Linked DNA regions of Caenorhabditis elegans. Changing the gene in region 3 together with the main gene of any one other region gives a genetic interaction. Each region holds a gene or a part of one and is shown on either strand. Other genes may lie near its edges.

Region 1 (8,945 bases), about 14 Mb from region 3:
TTGATTGTAAATAGAAAAAATTCAAAAAAAATTTTTGAAAGTTTTATTATGATATTCCGTCATTTTGGGACAACCACTCCACCTTTAGGATTTTCTTACTCAATTTTTGAATGTCCTACAGTTTTTGTATGTAAGAATCATATAATAAAACAAATTTGAAGAATCATACTGAAATCAGAATATTTATAATTCCTCTTTCAAAAATACTGAATATCATATAACAAGGGGCAAGCACCCACCATAACCCATCACATTATTCCATTCCCTACCATCTCTTTCTCCATTCGGTCCGGTCCATTGAGTTGGTAAACATATAATGTATATCGTATGATAAGGCCGCTGAATTTCAATTGACTTCCCCCCCCCCCCCCTCCTCTTTAATCTTCTCTTTTGCGTTACCGTACGATACGTAATATATGTAAAACTGAGATTTTTTGCATTGCCCCTTGAAGTCTAGAACTTCTCGACTTTCAAATTTGTAAGAAGGGTCTCATTTACCCTATACTTCTACTTCATGCTTCTTGTATAATCCCATCCGCGGGGTTGGTGTCTTCAAGCAACCGGGATTACTCTTTCCGGCTTATTCGAACCCCCTCTCCTTGCTTCAGTATTGCTCCAGATTGCAATTGTTTCAATTAGCCGCTACGATGACACCTAAACTAAATCCTCTAGGCTTAGGGGCACAAACATTCGTTTGTTAGAACTGATTATGTGGAGATGGAGCAAGATAATACAAGTGTAGAATACAATGATTAATCAATGAGTCTCACAGAGTTTTGCAAAAATTCTGAAAAATTAGATATTTCCAAAACCACGTTTTATACCAATTGTTGATTTTTGACTCATAGTAATTTTAACAATAAACCTTGTTAGATAAATTTCTAGAAACGGATTTGAGTTTTGGTGTGGCGAAGTATCAAAAGTGTACACATTATCTTATCGACAATAATCCCAAACCCACTCGGAGCTCCTAAGTAAATAGTGACTTGCATTCCAACCACTGTCTTATCTATAACTGGCAGACCCCCTCCTCTCCCGAAACGCGCATCCTTAAAATTTCTATAAGTAACTTAACCTTTATCTCTGCTGACACATCGGGACAATTCTAATTCTGATGCGCCCCTTATGCGATGTGTAGCGTCGTTATTTTCGATTTGACGGTGAGGAAAAGAGAAAGGCGGGGTTATAGGGTAGAAGAGTGAAGAGAGAGAGAAAATCTTGAACAAGTGGATTGTCTTTGTTCGATTCTTCTTTTTTCCTCCCTCAACGACGAAGACTAAGACGATGCCATACCACAACGACCCGAGGCTTTTCTCGAACTAGTAGTACATGATCGTTTCTACAGATGGGGGAGGGTTGGCAACCAGCCCCATCTTTCTTTTTTCCACTGTTTTCTACCTCACCTACCTATTTCTCCTCATCTTCCGCATTCTCTGCCTCTTTTAGACTCTTCCATCCGGTTCCTACATTATGCCATCTCGATCCCGACCTCCCCCCCCCTCAACCCCTCCTTACTACTTTCGCTCCATTCGTCGTCTTCAATCTCTTCTTGGCGACGACGTGGTCGCCTTCTTTCAGATTTTCCATATCAAATCTTGTTTTCGTTTTCGTTTCCATCCATTCTCATCTTCAACTTGTCTTCAGTAGCGAGTAAGAAGTAAGAAGAATGAGTACATGTCGCCTGATTCGTTGTTTTTATTTGTGTCTTAAGATTTCTAACCCCCTCTTGGACAGACTGCAAATCTGTTATCCAAACTTGGTGTCTCCCGTTCTTTTTTCATTAATCGCCTTAACAAATCCCACTATCTCCCTTTCTTCCATTTTTGTTGCTCTCCGCTCTATTCCATCGCAATTACGGTTGAATAGGTGCGCGCTTTCTTTTCCACCTTATTTGCTCCAACTAGCCACAACTACCATATCTCTTTTGCTCTTGCTCTCTCTCTCTCTCTTACTCGCTCTTTTTCTATCTATCTTCCCCGCATCATAGAAAGCCCCGCCTCCTCCATATCTATGAAAAGTGGGCGGGAAGTCCGCACACCAATCGGAGCGCAGAGCTAAATCTATCCAACTATCTTCTGGCTCTTCTTTCGATTCTTCTGCTATTAGTTTATCTCGATTTCTCATTTTTATTTTAAAAATTTCAAATATAAAGTTTCATTCAGCTAGATATGTTCCCAATGAGGGTAATCGTGGAAACAGTTCGCTCTCAACATTGCTTGACATGCTCAAACGAAGGACACATGATCACAGACACTTATGCAATTGTCGCAGGGACCACTACATTAAATCAACTCGTCGAAACTGTACTAGCAGCTCTTGGACATTCGAGCATGTCGACAAGTGCTCGAGGTTAGTTGAGAAAACATTTTGAAAATTGCCATAGACCTCGTGACTAGCTAAACTATTTTGGTATTAGTAGTACACATTCCTTATCTTCTTTTCTTTCATTTTTGTTCCTTTTTTTCATTCGCCAAAAACGGATAACAGATCTATCTTGTGATTGACAGATTTACCCTACTCTAGGCGAGTAAGTAATTGAGTATTGAGTGGGATCTCCTTTTCTTGACAACTACTTTCAGTTTCAATTCAATCTCATTGAAGCATAACGTGGTTGCGCAACTTCGCTATGCTGTAAGAAGATATACATCTTCCTCCTACCCCGAGATCACCCACTTTTTTTTGGCTAAGACGACCCTACCCACTCATGTGTTTTGTTCTGCGCCTCTTGCCAGATCAACGGTATTTCTGCGATTTCAGCGCCCTCCTCCCATTTTCTCACTTTCACGTTTTCTTCCACCTTAGTAGAAAGTGAAACAGACTGTCGAACCTGTTCTTTTCTCGGCGGCTTTGCCTCCTTGGTATCTACTTTCCCAAAGATTATGCAATCATGTGAAAGGGAAATCGGAAAGAAAACGAAGGGAATTGCATAGGGTTTTTTAAAAAAATATTTTGCATTTGTTGTCCGAAAATCGATAATTCAGAAATTTCAGGCCTCATACAAGTAAACAACTGGAAACCCTTGCCATTCGATCAAATTACTGAAAATTTAGATGACACTGTGGAAAACCTCTTCAAAGATATATCATCACATGTAGTGCTAAAAATATTGTCAAAACCGTAAGTGTTTCCTGAAGTATTCTTGTTTCACTCCGCACTATAACCTCATCTATCCCATCCAATCCCGCTCCAACCAGACGACTGTCGATCGGGAGGTTTGTGTGCTCCGGGGGGCTCATTCTGTAAAGGTGAGCAAAATCGCGCCTCACAACCCCTATACATCCTCTTTAGAACTACTCAAAGAAAATGGCAAACATAGGTATGTACAATGCGCGCCTCGCACACACACACATATATATAAACACATTCAGACATGTGTACAGGAGAGAAAAAGTGATGGAAGGAAAAAAGGGGGAAAACTCATTGAAATTGGCGGTGGCTGAAAAAAGATACATTTTGGGGCGCATTTCTAGTCATCAAAAGTCAAAGGAGCGGGAGGGTCCGGGGACCAACAAAATTATTTACCTAGATCCCCGTATGACTTATCCTATCTGTTTGCGGATTATTGTCGCTTCCTTCATTTCTTTATATCGTTCATATTCTATTGATATTTGGCATTTAGTTTGCTATCAAACATGGCACTCACAAATACCGCAAAAGCTTTAGCGCTTTGTCCTGCGACGCAATTTTTATGAGACCAATGAAAGCACAAACCATTCACGGACCGAATTCGATTTTTATAGCCCTATCCCTGGGCACACATATGCCTATACACACACACAATTTTATGACCATCATCATGATTTTCTTTCAGATCTACGGATTCAAATTCTGTGCAATGTATAAGTGAGGTGAAGAATAAACTCCTGAAAGCTGCAGTAAACAAAAATCCCAATGTTTTAACAAATGTGGATAATCAGCAGGTTAAGGTGGGTAGCTGCTATTTTCTCAATAATTCAATTTCAATTCTGATAATTGCAGGATGTCATCAACACAATCATTGCCGGAGATGAAACACTCTTGAATTCCGAACAAATTGGTGCAGTCAACGAATGGCTTGATACGCTGGAAACGAACGAGGATCGTAGAAGGTAAGATAGCGCCGCCCATGCAATGAGTTGCGAGCCAGTCAGCCAACCAGCCACCGTAATCCCGCTGTGCGTGTTGGATGTGAATAGAGGGGGGGGGGGGGCAGAGTTTGAGAGAAAAGACAGAGAGCAGTGACACGGGGGGTAGCGCCAAGTTAAGCCGCTATTCGGTGCTCGAGTTAAGCCCCCTCTCGGCTTGTTTGTAGAAATAGACTTTATGGATTGGTTAGGAATTTTGAGCTGCAGGCAGGATTGTGTATACATTGTGGTTGAAGGAAAAGTTATGAGAGAGCACCCATTTTGTTTATAAATTTTTGGGGAAATTTAGGAGATGGAATTTTGCTGTCTCTAGATATCAGGTAAAACCGATTCCTATCGGATATCATATAAACAATATACTTTTCCACGTCTGTGCATTCTTATTCACATCTGAAAAGAGAGGACTTAACTTAAATAGTTAGTTTCGTTTAATTTCCACCGCAAGGATTCATTGGAGCTCCCCCCCCCCCCCCGTCAGAATTTCAATTTCCTGAGGTTGTCTTCATCAAAAACCCGCCTTTTGTTTTCAAGTGTCGTAACAATCAGAATGGATAGGCGTCGGGGATTAACAAGCCGGCAGATTGTATCATTTGCTCTTTCTTTGGTGCCCATCATCACCATTCATCTTATTAGTGACAGCCCCCACACACAATGTGCGAAAACGATGATTGTTTGGGATTGGAAAAGAGTAGGGGATGGGTTCAATGGGAAGGGGAAGGCAAAGTGATGAAGATATACGTGAATGAAGTTAGAAACACTAGTTTATACCGAAGTATCTAAGAATTGCTTTGAAGACAAGTTTAATCTATAAAAAATTGTTTGAAACTGTAAAATCGTTATATAAAATTGATTTTTTTTACTTTATTACCCATTTGCGTAGCAGAAAACGTTTTTTTTTTTTTTTTTTTTTTTTTTTTTTTTTCTAAGCCTAAAAATAAAAAACTACACACGGTTTTATTTTAAAATGTTAAAATTTATTTTTTCAAAATGAGGTGAAATAATCCACAAGTACCAAAAATTTTCCTTGTTCTTAGTGCTAAAATAATAAAACACCGTACGCCTTCTATTATTTGCCAACTTAAAATGGTTGAGTTCAAAAATTTTTGAAAATCTAAAATTTTTAGGAGACGATTCACCAAATATGTGGCTTGTCAGAATTTAACAATTACCAAAACTCAAGTTTTATTTCGTAACTCAACTATAAATTCCACTAAGCCGGTTGACAGTACGGTTGATGCCCGGATAAGAGAGCAGTATTAGACTGAGATGAAGATAGCTAATTTCAAAAAAAAAACGAGACAAAAGACAAAACGATCAAATTCGGTCGTTCTCTAAGTGCCCTCCATCATGCCATTGTGTCTTTCTCAATTTCTCAAGAGAAGGAGGCTAAGAGATCAGGACTGGTTTTGGCCCCTTGTTGACCCGTGAAAACATCTCTGAAACTGCCACTGCCTGCTGATCTACATTCCCGAGACAACAAAGGGAAGAAGTCAAATTATAAGTGATGGAGACAGTTGTTTTCCACATATTCCTTTATTGAAACTCCTTCTTCCAACGAGAAGAAAAAAGGAAAAAGAAAAAGCTGAAATCAAGTTTTCCAGTCATCGAAGCACATCCAAATTTTCGAATTTCCAACTGTACAAATAATTGAGTTGTGTTGTGAGTAATCTTATTGTGACATACAGACACAAGAGAGGATACAAAACATGTACATATTGCTCTGAGGGAATGGGAACAGCAGAATAAAGGGCAAAATGGGAAAGGACGGCGGTGACGCATTCTGTAAAGAGTAATAAAGAATAGAAAAAGGGAGATTGAATGCGTTGTGTGCATACAGTGATATATCCAAACTGTTACCCGGGGGGGGGGGGGGGGCGCAAAAACAAGAAGAAGGGGACCCAGTATAACTATCAGAATGGAGTCGTGATTGGAGAAAAAGTGTCAGTAAAAAATGATTAAAAACTATCCTTACAAAAAACTTGTATACGAGTAATTACACCGTATTTCCTCTATTTGTATTGTACCACATTGTTCAACTTTAACTGTTTATATCTCAGTTATCGTTTGTGCTATTCGAAGTTGTTAACTAACAAAATATTTTTTCAGTTATTTTTCTATAGATTCGTAGTTAAAAATATATGTATATCTTTAAAGTGTATTTATACTCTTTAAAATGAATTAAGATATAACGTTTCAAAGTTAGGTAGTCGGGTGCAATACAAATAGAAGAAATACGCTACATGATTTTCTTTTCATTCCACTCTCAAGAAAGATAAACGCCTGCTTTCATATTACTTTCAGTACACATAATAATGTATGTATTTAATTTCAGCCCAACACAAGTACAAAGATTCAACACTCTTTACGAAATTCCACGTCTTGATAAATGGTTCAAATCCGATGCAAATCCATCTAAACAAAAAATGAACAATTACTTAAGCCAGCTCAATCAGAGTCCGTTCAGAAAGAACAATTCCAAGATCAGCTATCAACAGGTGAATTTAATGCGCCTACATATTACTCCATTAATCAAATGAATTTCCAGATTTGCAATTGGTTCACACAAAAACGCTCGAGTTCCCGTACCTTAGCTCCAGTAGACCTAGTGCAGGTCTCGTCAGCTCAGACAGCGGCGCAGCTGCTCCCGGGATTCCAACTCAACTTGCTCCAGTCCCTGTTTGGAGAACAACGTCAAAAATTTGATTTTTACGACAAACTGGATGAAACCAAGATTGTCGGCGGCTCCGACTCGCCATCTCCAGCCGATGATGAGATTCATAGCAATTCAGATGAAACTATTCAAGATACTTTGTTTTCCATCAATATTAAACCAGAACCGGAAATTGTAAGTTACGTTTGACTGTTTGTGCCATAGTTAGGTTGATTAGCGTTGCTCGTGCTGAAAAGCTTTGAAAAATCACGCTAAAAACGGATTTTCGGCTATTTCGATTCTGATTCACATTAAAGATAACATCTCCCAAATTGCTAAATATTACCGATAAGGTTATAAAGACCTAACACTACGGCCGAAAATCTGAATTTATTCCAAACTGTCAGCGTCGGCTGAGCGCCAATTAAAAATATTTTTCGACACAATTATGGTCCACCTTTAAAAATTATTCATCCCAAAACAAGCAACATTTCCTACAGGATTCAATTGCATCCTCCCCGGATATGGCAAACTCAATGCGCGAATCATTGTCCTCGACCTCCCCAAAGCTTCTCAGCGGGCTCGACCTCGGAGCATTCAGCACCCACTCATCATCCACCAACTCCATGCAAAACGCCAACTCATCAGGTACAACAAAGAGCTTTAAAACAGACAGGCTAACGGAAAAGAGAGGGAGATGGGTTGAACCAAGAACTCATAAATTAGAAGCGAGCACACACACACAAACACACATAGACATACACAAAGTGCGCGAAGACACATAACAAAGGGAGAAATGTGGGGCGTCGAATTTCGCACAGACAACCATTACGATCACTGAGATCTGAGGAAAAAAAAATGAGGCTAGGTATTGTGTTTACAGAAATAAAACAGAAAATCAACTGCAAACTTGATTTTGAGAAATATTCTAGGGATTTTGTACTGGCTCAAACTTATCGAGAAGGTGGCCATGTTCATGATACTCAGTCTGAAAACCTATATTGGTTGCTATCTCTAAAACGCTCTTAGATTGCGTTTGCTATGCATATGAAAAATGACTGCATAAAAATTCTCTATCTTTTCGACAAGAAAACTTTAAGGTGGAATTTTACTTCTATTTTTCGATAAAATCACTGACGCGGAACGTTTGAAAAAATTCAACGATAAAGCAAATAATCTCCGTTTTAGTGTTTTCAGCGGCTCGCTCACGCCTGATGTTCGACCCACTCACCGAGCTACCCGTCCTCGAAAAATGGTTCGAAGAGAATCCTCACCCGACATGGATGCAAATCGATCAGTACACACAATGCTTGAACAACTGCGCTTATCGAGAGAATTATCCGCATATTAGTCAGCACAATGTGAAGGTAATATTCTATATTAATACTGATTACTAGTTATCGAATTCGAATTGCAGATCTGGTTCAAAAATCGACGTGCAAAATGCAAGCGATTGTTGAATGGAATGCAGGAAAAGCTTGAGCAGAAGGTTTTCGTATAAAATTAAAATTTCCAACTTTTTTCAAAATCTTATTATCTTTAATTTCGAAAGAACATTAAGTTTTTCACATCAATAGTTCCTTCTTTAACCGTCATACTGGTGTACCCCTTGAATTCCTGATCTTCAGTGCCCCACAATTTCTCTTCAACGAAGAGCAAAATCACTACTTCATTTTTCATTCCAGCTGTGATTTTTGTCTGTAAGCTACACCTAATCGCTAGCTGTATATCTCGACGCATCTTTCGTTCTGCAAAACTTCTAGTCGCTTCTTGTCTTGTTTAACCTTGATGGGAAATTAAGCCGGCTTTAATTTCCTTCTTTCTTTCAATCAACAATTTCCCATCGCTTTCTTTGTCTCTTTCAATGTTCCACAGATCACATAGTTTTAATGGTTTTTCAATGTTTCCCTTCTTACCGTCACACTACTTTCCAATATTATTCATCTTAATTTTATGTCTACCACTTCCAATATCAATCTTGCCCACCGTTTTCTCAATTTTTTTTGTCAAATTTAAACTTTTCTCTGCTTTTCAGTTGTGCTTCAGCCCTTTATATGCCAAAAACTTTTATTCAGAATTTTGACATACAACCACGTTTATTTCTTTTTATTTGAATGTTTTGAGAAATAAAGTTTTTTTTTTCAGAAAAAAAATTTTACAAAAAATGGTCA
Region 2 (5,570 bases), on a different chromosome or scaffold from region 3:
TGAAACTTTTATGTTTGTTCTTATCAATATAAACAAAATTAGATAAAAAATCATATTTTATGGTTAATTTTCTGAACATTTTTTTCGATTTTTCGATTTCCACTGAAAAACGTCAAAAAATCGAAAAAAAAATTGAAAAATGACACCCTTGGTAGCAACAACTAACTCTAGTTTTCAAAGCATTCTTCTGAATTGCTCGAACCAGCACAAGAGTTGTCAAACCTCCGAGAGAGATCTCGCGGACACTGAAATCACTGTCCAGCCAGCCGAGATCCTTGATCATCTGCAAATATATACTTCAATATAATCTTAGCATTTCTAGTGAAAACTCACCGTCTCGTGTATAATCTTGCAGAAAATATCATCTTCACTGAGAATCAAGGCGACAATCAATGCAAGATAAACATGGTGAGAGTTGTTCGATGTCGCGACACCGTCGTGAAGAATTCGAAGAACAGGAACAACTAGATTCTCGAGGTTGATCCGAGACAACACATAGTTCCGGAATCCCGAGTTCGCCTGTAGAAGCATGTAGAGTAGAAGCATCGGAGGTTCCTGGCCAGCGGTAGCACACAATCTTTCGTATAATCCATTATAATCGATTTTGAACGACACAATCTGAGTAGGCAATGTGGATACTTCTTGAGCATTTTGGAAGAGAGCAAGGGTTTCTTTGAATGGATTGGATGAATTGAGAGGTTGATGGCATGAAAGATTGAGGAGAAGCAGGATGCTTAAGTTTCCAAGAGTAAGTGGGGGCTTCTTTTCTTCCTCTGCGGAGTCGATACCAGTTGCCATTTGGACCATTGACCACATTGATGCTTAAAAATCGTGTTTTTTTTTTAATTTAATAAAGAATTAAAAAAGATTTTCAGTGACATACAAGCTAATCCAAAAACAATGCTCTCTTGTGGCTTTTGTACAGTCATGTGATACTCTGAATTGTGGATCAAATAATTGAGAAGAAGAGTTTTAGTGAGCGAAGCTGCGTGTTTCGCACATGATCCATCAATAAAGAATCTGAAGACAATTGAAGTATTCACAATTGATTCATTATATAGTTGAGAGCTCAGGAGAGTTAGGAGACATCGAACTGCTTCGACATGGATTGCCAATGTTGTTTCGCTGAAATTATTTTAATTCAATTTTTTAAAAAATAATTTAAAACTCACTTTACAGAAATATTGATTAAAATCGAAACCAGCTCATACGTGAACTCTTCTGCAGTGTTTTGAAAAACTATCGGGATATATTTTGTCGCTGAAAACGTCAGAATTTGATTATTATTGAATTTTTTTTTTAAATGAAGCTTATTTACCTCCATTATTATTTTCGTTTTCTGATTTCTGTTCGTCATCATCTTCCTCATCCGACGAGGAAGATGTAGACGACGATTCGGTTTCCGTACTCTCATGACTTTTGGCGAAAATCCTCACGAATTCTTTTTCCGTCATACGTTGAGTTAAAAATCTGGCGATGTAACGAAGAATGAGAAGAGCGTTTGATGTTTGCCATAAGTAGATTTTACTGAAATAAGAAAAAGCTTTAATTAAATATAATGATGATTTTTTTTTCCAACTCACTTTTCGCATTGTTCTGATGTTTTTAGTTCTGTGGCTCTGCGAAGGAAAAGTCGAATAAATGCAGCGAAATTTCCTGTTGTTTGTGTATTGTACATTAGACATTGAAGATGATCATCTAAAGCAGATTCCAAAGCGATTCGGGTGTCTCTAAACGATTATAACATTTTTAAAGCTTTTGCCTAATTTTAATCCTTACTCGTCGTCATCATCAAACTTGAGACTGAAAGAGAGAAGTTTGTTCCAAAATGGGTCATAATCGTCGACAGGTTCCAAACCGCTGAGTTTCTTCAGATAAATATTCTCCTGTAAGACCGTTTCCTTGGTTATAACTGATCCCATGTGTCTGAAATTTGTTATTACACTGTTAATAATCATAAAAATAAAAGAAAAAGTCAAGAAAGGGTCAAATATTAATCAGGTCACATCTTTTTTATTCAATAAAATCTCCTCTCTCGTTCGTGGCAATGCACGTGAAATGCGCCAACAACCGCGAGTGCGCCAACACACACACATACGCGTCAGCAGACAATTCGCTCTCGTTTGAAATTTAGTTGTTTCTTTGTTTCTGCTGAAATAATGTCAGTTTTCCGATAATTTCAGCGTTTTCTGACTGATTTTTCTTGTTGCATTCACTTCCTAATAGTTCATTCTACTCCATTCTTCATTTTATAATCTGTTTCCTTCGCAATTTAGTGAATTAAACACGTAAATCTTGTTTCAGATAAATTATTCAAATAGTTGCACAAAGCTCAATAGTTTAGAAGTATCTTCAGTGCTGGTCACTAATACAAAATGGATCCGGCTATGGCTTCTCCAGGCTATCGGTCTGTGCAGTCCGATCGGAGTAATCACCTAACAGAGCTGGAAACGAGAATTCAAAATCTTGCCGATAATTCACAAAGAGATGATGTCAAATTGAAAATGTTACAAGTTAGTTTCAATAATTCGTGTTAAGTAATCAATTTGTTCGGTTGCAGGAGATTTGGAGCACAATCGAAAATCATTTCACACTAAGTTCGCACGAGAAAGTCGTGGAGAGGCTCATTCTCTCGTTCCTACAAGTTTTCTGCAACACAAGTCCACAGTTCATTGCTGAAAACAATACACAACAGCTTCGAAAGTTAATGCTTGAAATCATTCTTCGACTTTCGAACGTAGAAGCCATGAAACATCATAGCAAAGAAATTATCAAGCAGATGATGAGGCTAATCACCGTGGAAAATGAGGAGAATGCCAATTTGGCTATCAAAATTGTCACCGATCAAGGGAGAAGTACCGGCAAAATGCAATATTGCGGAGAGGTTTCACAGATAATGGTCTCCTTCAAAACAATGGTCATTGATCTGACGGCGAGTGGTCGAGCTGGTGATATGTTCAACATAAAAGAGCATAAAGCTCCACCGTCAACTAGCTCCGACGAGCAAGTCATCACTGAATATTTGAAGACTTGCTACTATCAACAAACGGTTCTTCTCAACGGAACGGAAGGAAAACCGCCATTAAAATACAATATGATTCCATCAGCTCATCAGTCAACGAAGGTGCTCCTGGAGGTTCCGTATCTCGTGATTTTCTTCTATCAACATTTCAAAACAGCGATCCAAACCGAAGCGCTTGATTTCATGAGGCTTGGTCTTGATTTTCTAAATGTCAGAGTTCCAGACGAGGATAAACTCAAAACAAATCAAATAATAACCGATGATTTTGTCAGTGCACAGTCCCGATTCCTGTCATTCGTCAACATTATGGCTAAGATTCCAGCGGTAAGTTTCGTTTTTTCAAGTTTTTTTTCTGTAATCCTGATTTTTATTTTTCAGTTTATGGATCTTATCATGCAAAATGGACCGCTTCTAGTGTCGGGAACAATGCAGATGCTCGAGCGGTGCCCGGCTGATCTGATAAGTGTCCGACGAGAAGTTCTGATGGCTTTGAAGTATTTCACATCTGGAGAAATGAAGTCGAAATTCTTTCCAATGCTACCTCGACTCATCGCTGAGGAGGTTGTTCTGGGAACAGGATTCACTGCGATTGAGCATTTGCGAGTTTTCATGTATCAAATGCTAGCAGATCTGTTGCATCACATGCGAAATTCTATAGACTATGAAATGATCACACAGTAAGTTTGAATAAGACTTTCTGATGAAAAATGTTGAAATTTCAGCGTGATTTTCGTATTCTGTCGCACTCTTCACGATCCTAACAACTCTTCTCAAGTCCAGATTATGTCTGCTCGGCTGCTCAACTCACTGGCCGAATCTCTGTGCAAAATGGATTCACATGATACCGTAAGACTTATTCTATCAATAATCGTATCTCACTTCGAAATAAGTTTCAGACTCGTGATCTGCTCATTGAAATCCTGGAGTCGCACGTGGCCAAGCTCAAAACTCTTGCAGTCTATCACATGCCTATTCTCTTCCAACAATACGGAACCGAAATAGACTACGAATACAAAAGTTATGAGAGAGACGCCGAGAAACCTGGAATGAATATCCCAAAGGACACTATACGAGGAGTACCGAAACGAAGAATCCGTCGGCTCTCCATTGATTCAGTTGAAGAGCTGGAATTCCTGGCATCAGAACCATCCACGTCGGAAGATGCAGATGAGAGTGGTGGAGATCCGAACAAGCTTCCTCCGCCAACAAAAGAGGGAAAGAAAACGTCTCCCGAAGCGATTTTAACCGCCATGTCAACGATGACACCTCCTCCATTGGCAATTGTTGAAGCTCGAAATCTTGTGAAGTATATAATGCATACGTGTAAATTCGTGACAGGACAATTGAGAATCGCCCGGCCATCACAGGATATGTATCATTGTTCGAAGGAGCGAGATTTATTCGAACGTCTTCTACGATATGGTGTAATGTGTATGGATGTATTCGTGCTTCCAACAACTCGAAATCAACCACAAATGCATTCTTCAATGCGGACAAAAGATGAGAAAGATGCTCTGGAGTCGTTGGCAAACGTTTTTACAACAATCGACCATGCGATATTCCGGGAAATCTTCGAAAAGTATATGGATTTCTTGATTGAAAGAATTTACAATCGGAACTATCCATTGCAATTGATGGTGAACACCTTCTTGGTTCGAAATGAAGTGCCATTCTTCGCATCTACGATGCTTTCATTCTTGATGTCTCGAATGAAATTGCTGGAAGTTAGCAATGACAAGACGATGCTATATGTGAAGCTCTTCAAAATTATCTTCTCCGCCATCGGAGCCAATGGCTCTGGGCTTCATGGAGATAAAATGCTCACTTCATACCTCCCAGAGATTCTCAAACAGTCAACTGTCTTGGCATTAACAGCTCGTGAACCTCTCAACTATTTCCTTTTGCTTCGTGCATTGTTCCGCAGTATTGGTGGTGGCGCTCAGGATATTTTGTATGGAAAGTTCCTGCAGTTACTGCCAAATCTTCTTCAATTCTTGAATAAATTGACGGTGAGTTTCATTTTTTGATATATCGGTAATACACTAAAAATCCAGAATCTTCAGTCATGTCAACATCGGATTCAAATGCGTGAGCTCTTCGTCGAGTTGTGTTTGACTGTGCCAGTTCGACTCAGTTCCCTTCTGCCATACCTACCGCTTCTGATGGATCCACTGGTGTGTGCGATGAATGGGAGTCCGAACATAGTTACACAAGGATTGAGAACATTGGAATTATGTGTGGATAACTTGCAACCTGAATATCTTCTCGAAAATATGCTTCCTGTCCGTGGAGCTTTGATGCAAGGCCTCTGGCGTGTTGTATCGAAAGCTCCAGATACATCATCGATGACAGCAGCGTTCAGGATCCTCGGAAAGTTCGGAGGAGCCAATCGAAAACTTCTGAATCAACCGCAAATTCTTCAAGTAGCCACTTTAGGCGACGTAAGTTTATTTAGTTTATTCTCTTCCTCGTTTTAAGTTCTAACATTGATCCTATTAACAGACTGTTCAGTCGTACATCAATATGGAATTCTCGCGGATGGGACTCG
Region 3 (8,720 bases):
TTTTATTAAAAAAACTGAAAATGTTATTGATGACTGATCATTTGTAGTTTATCAGCAAATGCAAGATCTAATCGTTTTGCACGGGGGCACATGTTTGACGTAGTAGCAATTTTGACATTTTTTGCCATTTTAACGGCATTTAAGAAATGCGTCAGATGTAAAACTGATAAATGTCAAATAGAAAAGTGTCCTCATTATTTGTAAACTGTGTTTCTTCTAATGACAATGTCAAGCAAATTTTAAAGAATTGCGAACAATTATGTTCACGTTTTATTGGTATTTTAATAATAGTTAACAATTTGCATATCACCTAGATAAAATAAGAAAAAAAAAGTAGATTAATTTATCCCGTCTAAATTTCCAGTGTATTTTTTTCAAATGTTTGTGTATAAGTGATATGTAAATTTTGATAACTTATTTCAGAAATTAAAAAAATGTGGAGATTTTTGATTAGTGGTATTTAATACCTAATTAGCAATGGACATGATTTTCATTCTAAAAATGTATTTTTCTTGAAGCATTACTTTTGTAGAACGAGGCATTCATTGAGTATTTTAATATATGCATTTTTCTGACTCAAAATCCTGAATTTAAGTTTATTGCACTAACTTTCTTGGCTACCGCTATTCGGAATTCCATATTCCAAGAAAGAAAAAAATATATATCCAATTAAAAAACATAACTGGCATTACCTGATAAAAAGAACACAAAGAAGAACTAACACCGTTTTGTCAAAATTTTCAAAATAGCTCTCGCAACAAAATTATTTTTTGGTATGGGCCTATTTTAAAGAAGTTGTTTCAGTGGGGGTTTTGTCTTGATACACTTACAATAGTCCTTTTTTAAGTTTTGAAAAAAAAAATTTCAGAACACGTTCTGATAAAGTGCCCAGTTTTCGAAAACATTGGATTGTTTTTTTTAAATTTGGCCAATATCGTATAAATAAAAATAAAAATATAATTGAATTATGTTACGCAGAAAAATTCTTACAAAATTTTTTACAAAAGTTGTGTTGAAAAACTAATTATGAGAAAAGAAAAGCACAGGCAATCGGAAAGTTCAAGAAATAAGTGCGCAGCATTTGTTTCCATGTGATCAGCCGTCGCAGAAACACTACATTCTTCTTCTTCGCTATTATTTTTCAGGGATATCAGTCGAAAAATCAGAAATCGAAAATCAAAATGTGTTATAAAAGTTGTTCAAATTGTTTATTACAGTATTACACATCGCGAAACTCGTAACGGACTTGATCCCATAAATCGCAATATTTTTGAATGACACCAAGCGTCCAGACTTTGTCGGCTTTCGCTTTCTCCACAATCTTATCGGATGTCAAGTCGATATCAGATGTACCAATTTCTTCTAGCTGTAAAAAAGAACCGAATTAGCTTCATAACACTGTTTTAAAATTTAAATTAATTACCTTATCCTCACATATCCTAAGCATATGGAATTTAATATGATGCATGCGGTGAAGAAAGTCAACTGCCATTGAACACCGACCACACGATATCGCATCAGATACAATTGGATATTCTTCATCGTCTTCATTTTCATCATGGATATCGCTTGATAGATTCTCCACAAGCAGTTTTTCATTGCAAGATGTTTTGTCGAAAAAGTGAATCACTCTCCGCGGCTTTTTCCGTTTGCAAATCTGCAAAAACACACAGTTGTATAGACTTCATTCGTTTTGATGATCAGTTTCTAAATCATATAATTTATGTCAACTAACCACTATTTCCAATATTCTGCATATTCTGTAGCAAACAATGAACAATCAACTAGATGTTCTTCCTTTCCCTATCTTATTATATTTACTGTACCTGACACTTTGTAAAGCAGTGAAATGATGATTTTGATATGGCCAATCTAGTGTATTTCGCAATCCATCGATTGTGTTTCGGCTCGACAGGTATGCGTTTTTTGATCAGCCCTTCGCATTGTTTGTTGTTGGTTTCGAGTTCTGCTATTGAACGAGAATAGGTCCAATCTGAAAAAGTGGCGAGTTTTAATCGAATTCAAACATTTTATTTTTTGATTTTTCTTTTGTGATATTATGTTACACGGGAGCCGTGATCTACGTTTTATTACATTTCAAGAAGTTTTCTAAGTTTGCACATTTTGAAAAGTTTGCTATAATTTGCATGAACAAATTCAAAACATATTGATCTTGATAAGGCTTCATGTATTTTGTTACAAATTTTTCAAAAACTACCGCAGAGCTGTGCGCAAAATCATTTCGGCGAACAGTAACCTGTAGACCTTATTTGAGATATCGTTCAAATTTTTTAACAGAAAAAAAAAACAATTCTATGCTATAAACACTATGTGCATCAGTGAGCCGCCGCTCTGTAAATTGACCTAAAGGAATTTTAACAATTGTTTTGAAAACATATGGTTCTTTATTTTCCATTTGAATTTTGGGCATTCAAAATGAAATAAGCTTAGCGTGTCAGAAGTCCTTCTGTAACCACCTTACCTTTATCATCTATGAGGCTTTCCACGTGGGTTTTTGTAAACACCTGTGTTAGGTACGCGTTGACAAGAGTGTTTAGGGAGACTCGTCTTGGCTCCGTTAAAATTGAATCATCGTCTATTGGCTCAACCTTCGTCTCTTCTGCAACATTTATTTATAAAAGAAGGTGAAACAAAAAAAAATTATCAAAATACCTTCAAAAAACACAGTCCCAGGATTCTTGAACCATTCCACAGAGGACGCCGGAAACAGTTCGGCAAGGGGGACTTCGGGCTCCACTGTTGTCTCGGAACGTGTCTGTTTGATAATTTTCACAGCGACCCGGAAGTATTGTGATGAGATTTGTTCGCACCATCCCGAATACTGAAAACTGTGAAATATAAGCTGCGCTTTCTCAAAAATCAAATCTTACCGTACTACTACTGCGATAGACTAGTCGATTAGCTTTGCTATCTCTAAACGGAGGAAACTTCTGAAGTAAATTCTGATTGTCAACTCTCCATACAGCGCAATCTTCTTTCAGCATGTCAGCTTTGCATATTACATATGTTCCTTTCTGATAATACACAAATTGGGAATTAAAACAGAACGATCAATTCAAGCTCACGGGTAAAATTCCTTCAGCCGGGCCAAACATGCTGACGCGCTTCTTTTCTTCATCAGAGACGCATGGACCAATTGAAAAGTCCAAGACAGTTCGTCGAAAAGTGGGATCATTTTCTTTGTGCATTGTGTAACTGAAAATAGGACTTTCATAAATTGAAACAGTCGTAGTTTCTTCAAAACTACATATTGAAAATTTGGTTCTATCGCCGCGCCCGACACTTTTTGGGTTCCGCTCCCGGTAGGCGTTTTGGCGCCTGCATGGAAGCCCTACTTTATTTTTTTATTTGCCATGAAGAATAACTAGACTCCCATTCCCAATCAAATTCCACTTACACTTTCTTTGCCGTTTTCCTCTTCCTATACGCCACATCTTCAAAATCCGAGTCGTCATTATCACTTTTGTTCTTCTTTCTTTTATATCGCCTTCTAGTCATTGGTTCTTCATGCTGGTTTTGCACTTGCTCAACCCTTATTATAAATTTCGGAAGCATTGGCTCTTCTCGTGTCACTTTTCTCATATTCCTCACGCATTCTGTGCTGGTAACTTGTTCGGGTTTTAAGAATGCGCAAACCAGTTGCTGATCTTTTTGAGCACGAATTTCATCAGCTGTCGTGAAAAATGCTTTCTCTGAAATAGGTAATTTTGATATAAATATATGGTATTGTAAAGTTAAATATTACCATTAATTGTGTCATTGAAATTCGGCTGATGAGTTGCTGATGGTTTGGAATAATATTTCTTACTACTATACTCCTTTTCTTTATCATTTCGAATTGAAAACCCTACTCCAGTTATGTATACACTTTTCGCCTTCTGTTCAATCTTCTTCGTAAGCTCAGGCTCACGCCTCAAATCTGCCGAAGGCCCACCAAACACGAAATCATCGTCATCCTCAAACTCAAAAGCATCATAGTTTGGATCTTCTTTCCGAGCGTTTTCTCTTGCTTCAAGGGACATGAGGGCAGCTTTTTGTTTGTACACAGGAACCTGAAACATTTGAATTTTTAAAAACATTTTGTAAATGTGGATTACATTTTGTGGTTTAACGAAGTTGTTGACAAAGTCATCCTCTTCTTTTGATGCAGCGGTTGGAGCAGGTTTCGGGACTCTTTGTGGAGTAGCTGTAATTTAGTTTTGATTAATGTGATTTGGAGTTGGTAAAACTAATTCTAAAGACAAGTTACTTAAAAATGATATTAAAAAGAGATTATTGAGTCTGAAGAATGTTTATTCAAAAATAAAAACGATGAATTTCATTTTGATAAACATTTTTTAACGTGGTTTGCAGACATCTACAAAAAAATTTATTCCATAAAAATTGAGGTCTGGTTAAGGAAAACATAGCGAGACATGGGTGCGCAACAATTGCCGAAGTTTCAGAATGTCGAAAATTCATAAACCGGCATATGCCAAAATTGCCGATTGTCGGAAATTTTGAAATCCAGCAATTGCCGGAATTGCCGATTGCCGGAAATATATAAATAAACTTGATACTTTTTGAGGATTTAGGAGCCTAAACATGCATTTTAATCATTAATTTTCTATTTTCAAGCTCAAAATGATTTATTCCTTTAAGGATTGACCATTTTCTTTAAAAAAAAGACTAACCGAATACTAACAAAAAGGGGTGGAATGTTTTCAATTTTATTAAAATATATTTAGGTTTGAAAATCGCAGAACGTGTCCGGCAATTTAGACAATTTTGGCAATTTCGCCAATTGCCGGAATTGCCGGAAATTTTGAAAACTGGCAATTTCGGTAATTTCGCCAATTGCCGAAATTGCCGAAAATTTTGGAAACTGGCAATTGCCGGAATTGCCGGTTGGCGGAAATTTCCGAAATTACCTATTGCCGGAAATTCCTTATTGCCGCGCGTCCCTGTAGCGATATCTAAAATGGGGAAGATTGTCGGTGAAAAAAATTTCCTTCTGTGGTATATCATTATTCCAAACAAGTGTATTTTTCTCAAAGCGAAATACCCATTAGTTTTACTAAAAAATATACTCTTACCGTCTTTACTTGTGGATGGAACATCATGAAATACCATTTCACTCCTTGGTTTCGGTACTGGCTTTTCTTTGGTGGCGGCTTTTGCAGATGTCGATGGTGCTGATATTCCAAATATTTCGTCAAATGTCAGTTCAGCTTGGGGAGAGTCGGGTGGCGTAAACTAGAAAAGACTGACTAAAAATGGAAATTGATTGGAATTTTTTTTTGTAAAGATAGTAGGTAAAGAAACTCATTCAATCATTTTAGTTTTGAACGAATTTTGTGAAAACTGTAATTTTCTTTTTTCCAGACTCATCCTTTCCCACTTACATCAATAGGACTATGAACACGATCCGCCGAATCGGGCCGTCGATACATCGAGCCGGACCTCACGTCACTTTCCGAAAGTGATAATCCAAAAATATTGTCTACATCATCATGCGCTTCATCATCAAAGTCGATCGCGTCCCCTTTCGTCGCGTCCACCGATTCCGAAGACGTCGGCATAGACGAAGCAGCAGATGGTTCCGAAGGTTTAGTCGCCAGGCTTACAGTTGCCGTCAGTGGGGTGGCACAAGATACTGCTGGAGTACTATTGAATGTGGTTCCAGCTGAAACTTGTGCAGATGGTGTTGTTGATGGTGTCTTTGCTTGTTTCGGGTCGAGTAAAGAATCCACACAAATGTTTTTCATCCAATCTTCAACAGCAGCTTGTGCCTGAGGTATGGTCGTTTGTGCGAGTTGGGTAGTTTTCTGAAACTTTATCACACATGTTAAATATAATTAATTTATTATCCAAACCAATGCCACTTACTAGATTTAAATTTTGTCCTAGTTTGTTTTCGAGCATCATAGAGCTCTGAACAGCGAGATTATGCATTGATGTGGTGGGAATCATAGGTTGAGATGCGTTCTGAAATTATACATTGAATAAATGAACGGAATTTACTTTTTAATTAAATTTTTTTGAGAAAGAGAAAAAGCGGTTGAAACAAACCAACTTACAATTTGTGTTCCTGAAGTAGTTGGAATGGATGCGGAGAACACGTTGCTTGAGGTAGATGGCTCATTCCCAGTCATTGAGTTGAACTGCGACATTGTAAGACTTGCTTGAGGTTGCTTCTGGTTTCCGTTGTTAAAAGTGTTGTACATCGATTGCATTGCTCTTAGTTGGAACTGAAACAACAAGAAGTATACAAATTTAGTTTCGACTAGCTTTTAATAAAGTTATGTAAATAAAATAATAATTCAAGTGCAAAGTATGCGACAAAGATAGTCAAAATGATATACACAGCTCACGTCAGATTTATAATCCTATCTTATTTTCAAAAATGAGTAGTTTAACATTTTTGTCACTCGAATATATTTTTGCTAGAATTTTCCAACTCACTTGCTCAATAAGAAACTGATTTTGGAGATCGGTTTGGAGATCGCCATGAGGCAACAACTGATTGCCCATGCTGTGCATTTGCAACGACTGAATTGTTGACATAATTGCGTTGGTATTTCCATGAGGAATTCCTGAATAAAAATGCATATAAAATAAGTTTAACAATAAGTTTTAAATTTTAAATTTTAAGTTTTTTTTTTTAATTTCTTATTGCTTACCATTAAACTGCCCGGAAAACCCATTTGCCGAAAAGTCGGGCAGCAAAGATTTTTGATTACGTTGATCCATCGAATTTCATTAGTGCAGTTAGATAATCTACAAATTGGCTATTAATACGGAAACCAAACCTATAAATAAATCTAGTAAAACGCGGAAAGCAGCAAAAAAAAACGCTTTCGTTACACAATTCGAATGACCGCCATCCTATTGATTTTTCGTCCGCGAGAGGAGGTCGGCGCAAAAGAACACATCGCAGTCGGTCGCGTGTGTTTACATGTGAGTAGTGGTTAAGGATCGGAGAGTGCAGAGAAAGAGGACAAGTCGACTGGACGGACGGACTGAGTGACTGTGTAAGGGCGAATAGGCACGCGGGTGTAATTATATGAAGGGTAATGGAAGAGATAGTGGCTGTACGGACGAGGATGTTTAAAACGTAGGCCATATTGATGCTTTCCGCGATTTTTAATACAGGAGACTAATCAAAAATAGACATCACGATAACTCATAAATGCATCTTTTCAATTATTACATTGTAAGGAAAAAGTAGAAAAAGCTTAATGTATTCACTTGATTTATTTTCAGGTTTAGTTTTTCCATCCGCAACAAGAATTTTAAGGAAAAAAGAAAAATGAATGAATAGTAACTTTTCAAATAGATAATACAAAAATACTGAACCTAAAAGTTTAAAAAATGTCTTATCAGGTTTGTTTCATTTTAAGTGTGCTGTGCATATGTGTTACCAACAGGAATCGTTTTTTTTTTTGAATGCATGTTTCAAATTCAGAAATTCCGTTGTCAATTTTTATTTTATCCGTAACAGAAAATAGAGAGAGTATACAAAATTACCACATATTGATTTTAATGAAAATCACCACAGTGAAGTCTTGTTCTGTTTTCGGAATTTCGAAGAGTGGATTATTTAAAATTTTTATTGCATCCAGTTCAACATTCTGAAAAAAATTTCTTGTGTTTTTTGAAATGAATAGCGCAGTTACAAAGACGGTGGTACATCGACCTGAAAGAACAGAAAATTTGCTATTTTTTCTGGTAGGACACTTTTTTGCTACTCGCAATTAACCAGTCTAAAATAATTTCCACACGTTTTAATGGTGGTAGCAAAAAAAAAATTTCTTGGATTTTTTTTGGAGTGAATAGTGTAGTTGCAAAGACGGTGGTACATCGACTTGAAAGAACAAAAAAAATTATATTTTTTCATGTACGGCACTTTTTTGCTACTCGGAAAATTCGAATTTCAAAAAAAAATTCAATACGGAGGAAACAAAAATAGCCATATTTTCAAAATAGGTATTTTTTTGCTGCCAGTGGTTAGACGTTTAGTGGAGATACACTTTACAAAGACAATTTGTATTTTTGATTAAAAAACAGCATAGTTTGAAATCTGCAACGTGTTATATACAGGTCTTTTTCATGTTTCATTCATTCAGTTAATTCGTCTTTGTTTTGGTAATAAATAAATTACGATTTTGTTTTGATGTTACGTTATTGCAAAATTAAAAATTCTTGATTTGTCTACGAAACTATGCTGTCAGAACTCGACAAAATCTAGTTGAAACATTTTTCATTCAGTATAAATAAAATTTTGGATTTGATGTGCTTCAATAAAATGTAAAAATTGTTTTATTACAAGTTTAAAGGTTAAACAATAAGTCAATACCTGAAATTGAAAAAGACAAGACCATTGCATTAATTTTCCAGATCAGTATTATTTTGAGAATTGCTTTAAAACGTTAATGCTAAAAACCTTTATTTGTAGTTTTTAAACCGGCTAAAGTGAGAAGTCTTATACATATGTTTTCCGCGTTGTTGTACAAAAATTGATATTTTAGAAACACTTTTTGTAAAATATTGAACTACTGTTCTTGTATACATAGAGAGCTGGTCAGAAAGAAATTCCCTTTTCTGTCAATTTTGTTATTTTTTTTAATGGCCTGCGAAACAAGAAATGCTATTGAAAAAAGTTAAACTGAAAAAAATCGCTTATAAATATGTCTATTTATTTTTATAAAGTTCAATTT

Evidence for each region.
Region 1: of eor-2 (region 3) and dve-1, changing one enhances a phenotype caused by changing the other (phenotypic enhancement), as found in Caenorhabditis elegans (one large-scale study listed by BioGRID).
Region 2: of eor-2 (region 3) and trr-1, changing one enhances a phenotype caused by changing the other (phenotypic enhancement), as found in Caenorhabditis elegans (one large-scale study listed by BioGRID).

What each region holds. Positions count from the first base shown.
Region 1 is NC_003284.9:427,017-435,961, reverse strand, and holds dve-1 (Homeobox protein dve-1), read left to right. Parts: upstream 1-2,162; 5' UTR 2,163-2,168; coding exon 2,169-2,349; intron 2,350-2,461; exon of another isoform or gene 2,462-2,990; coding exon 2,991-3,117; exon of another isoform or gene 3,118-3,811; coding exon 3,812-3,926; intron 3,927-3,978; coding exon 3,979-4,088; intron 4,089-6,456; coding exon 6,457-6,619; intron 6,620-6,669; coding exon 6,670-6,969; intron 6,970-7,274; coding exon 7,275-7,422; intron 7,423-7,962; coding exon 7,963-8,141; intron 8,142-8,191; coding exon 8,192-8,275; 3' UTR 8,276-8,912; downstream 8,913-8,945.
Region 2 is NC_003280.10:11,672,662-11,678,231, reverse strand, and holds the start of trr-1 (Transcription-associated protein 1), read left to right. Parts: upstream 1-2,304; 5' UTR 2,305-2,375; coding exon 2,376-2,513; intron 2,514-2,560; coding exon 2,561-3,346; intron 3,347-3,400; coding exon 3,401-3,699; intron 3,700-3,744; coding exon 3,745-3,868; intron 3,869-3,912; coding exon 3,913-5,031; intron 5,032-5,076; coding exon 5,077-5,463; intron 5,464-5,524; coding exon 5,525-5,570. Other genes in the region: C47D12.2 (Dymeclin), read right to left, coding at 167-283, 334-821, 884-1,125, 1,173-1,260, 1,319-1,527, 1,584-1,730, 1,780-1,922.
Region 3 is NC_003284.9:14,601,125-14,609,844, reverse strand, and holds eor-2 (EOR-2), read right to left. Parts: upstream 6,781-8,720; 5' UTR 6,754-6,780; coding exon 6,684-6,753; intron 6,597-6,683; coding exon 6,466-6,596; intron 6,252-6,465; coding exon 6,081-6,251; intron 5,989-6,080; coding exon 5,890-5,988; intron 5,835-5,889; coding exon of another isoform or gene 5,829-5,834; coding exon 5,406-5,828; intron 5,257-5,405; coding exon 5,097-5,256; intron 4,977-5,096; coding exon 4,932-4,976; intron 4,208-4,931; coding exon 4,119-4,207; intron 4,074-4,118; coding exon 3,767-4,073; intron 3,714-3,766; coding exon 3,419-3,713; intron 3,217-3,418; coding exon 3,087-3,216; intron 3,036-3,086; coding exon 2,892-3,035; intron 2,843-2,891; coding exon 2,674-2,842; intron 2,621-2,673; coding exon 2,483-2,620; intron 1,994-2,482; coding exon 1,827-1,993; intron 1,658-1,826; coding exon 1,424-1,657; intron 1,367-1,423; coding exon 1,220-1,366; 3' UTR 1,191-1,219; downstream 1-1,190.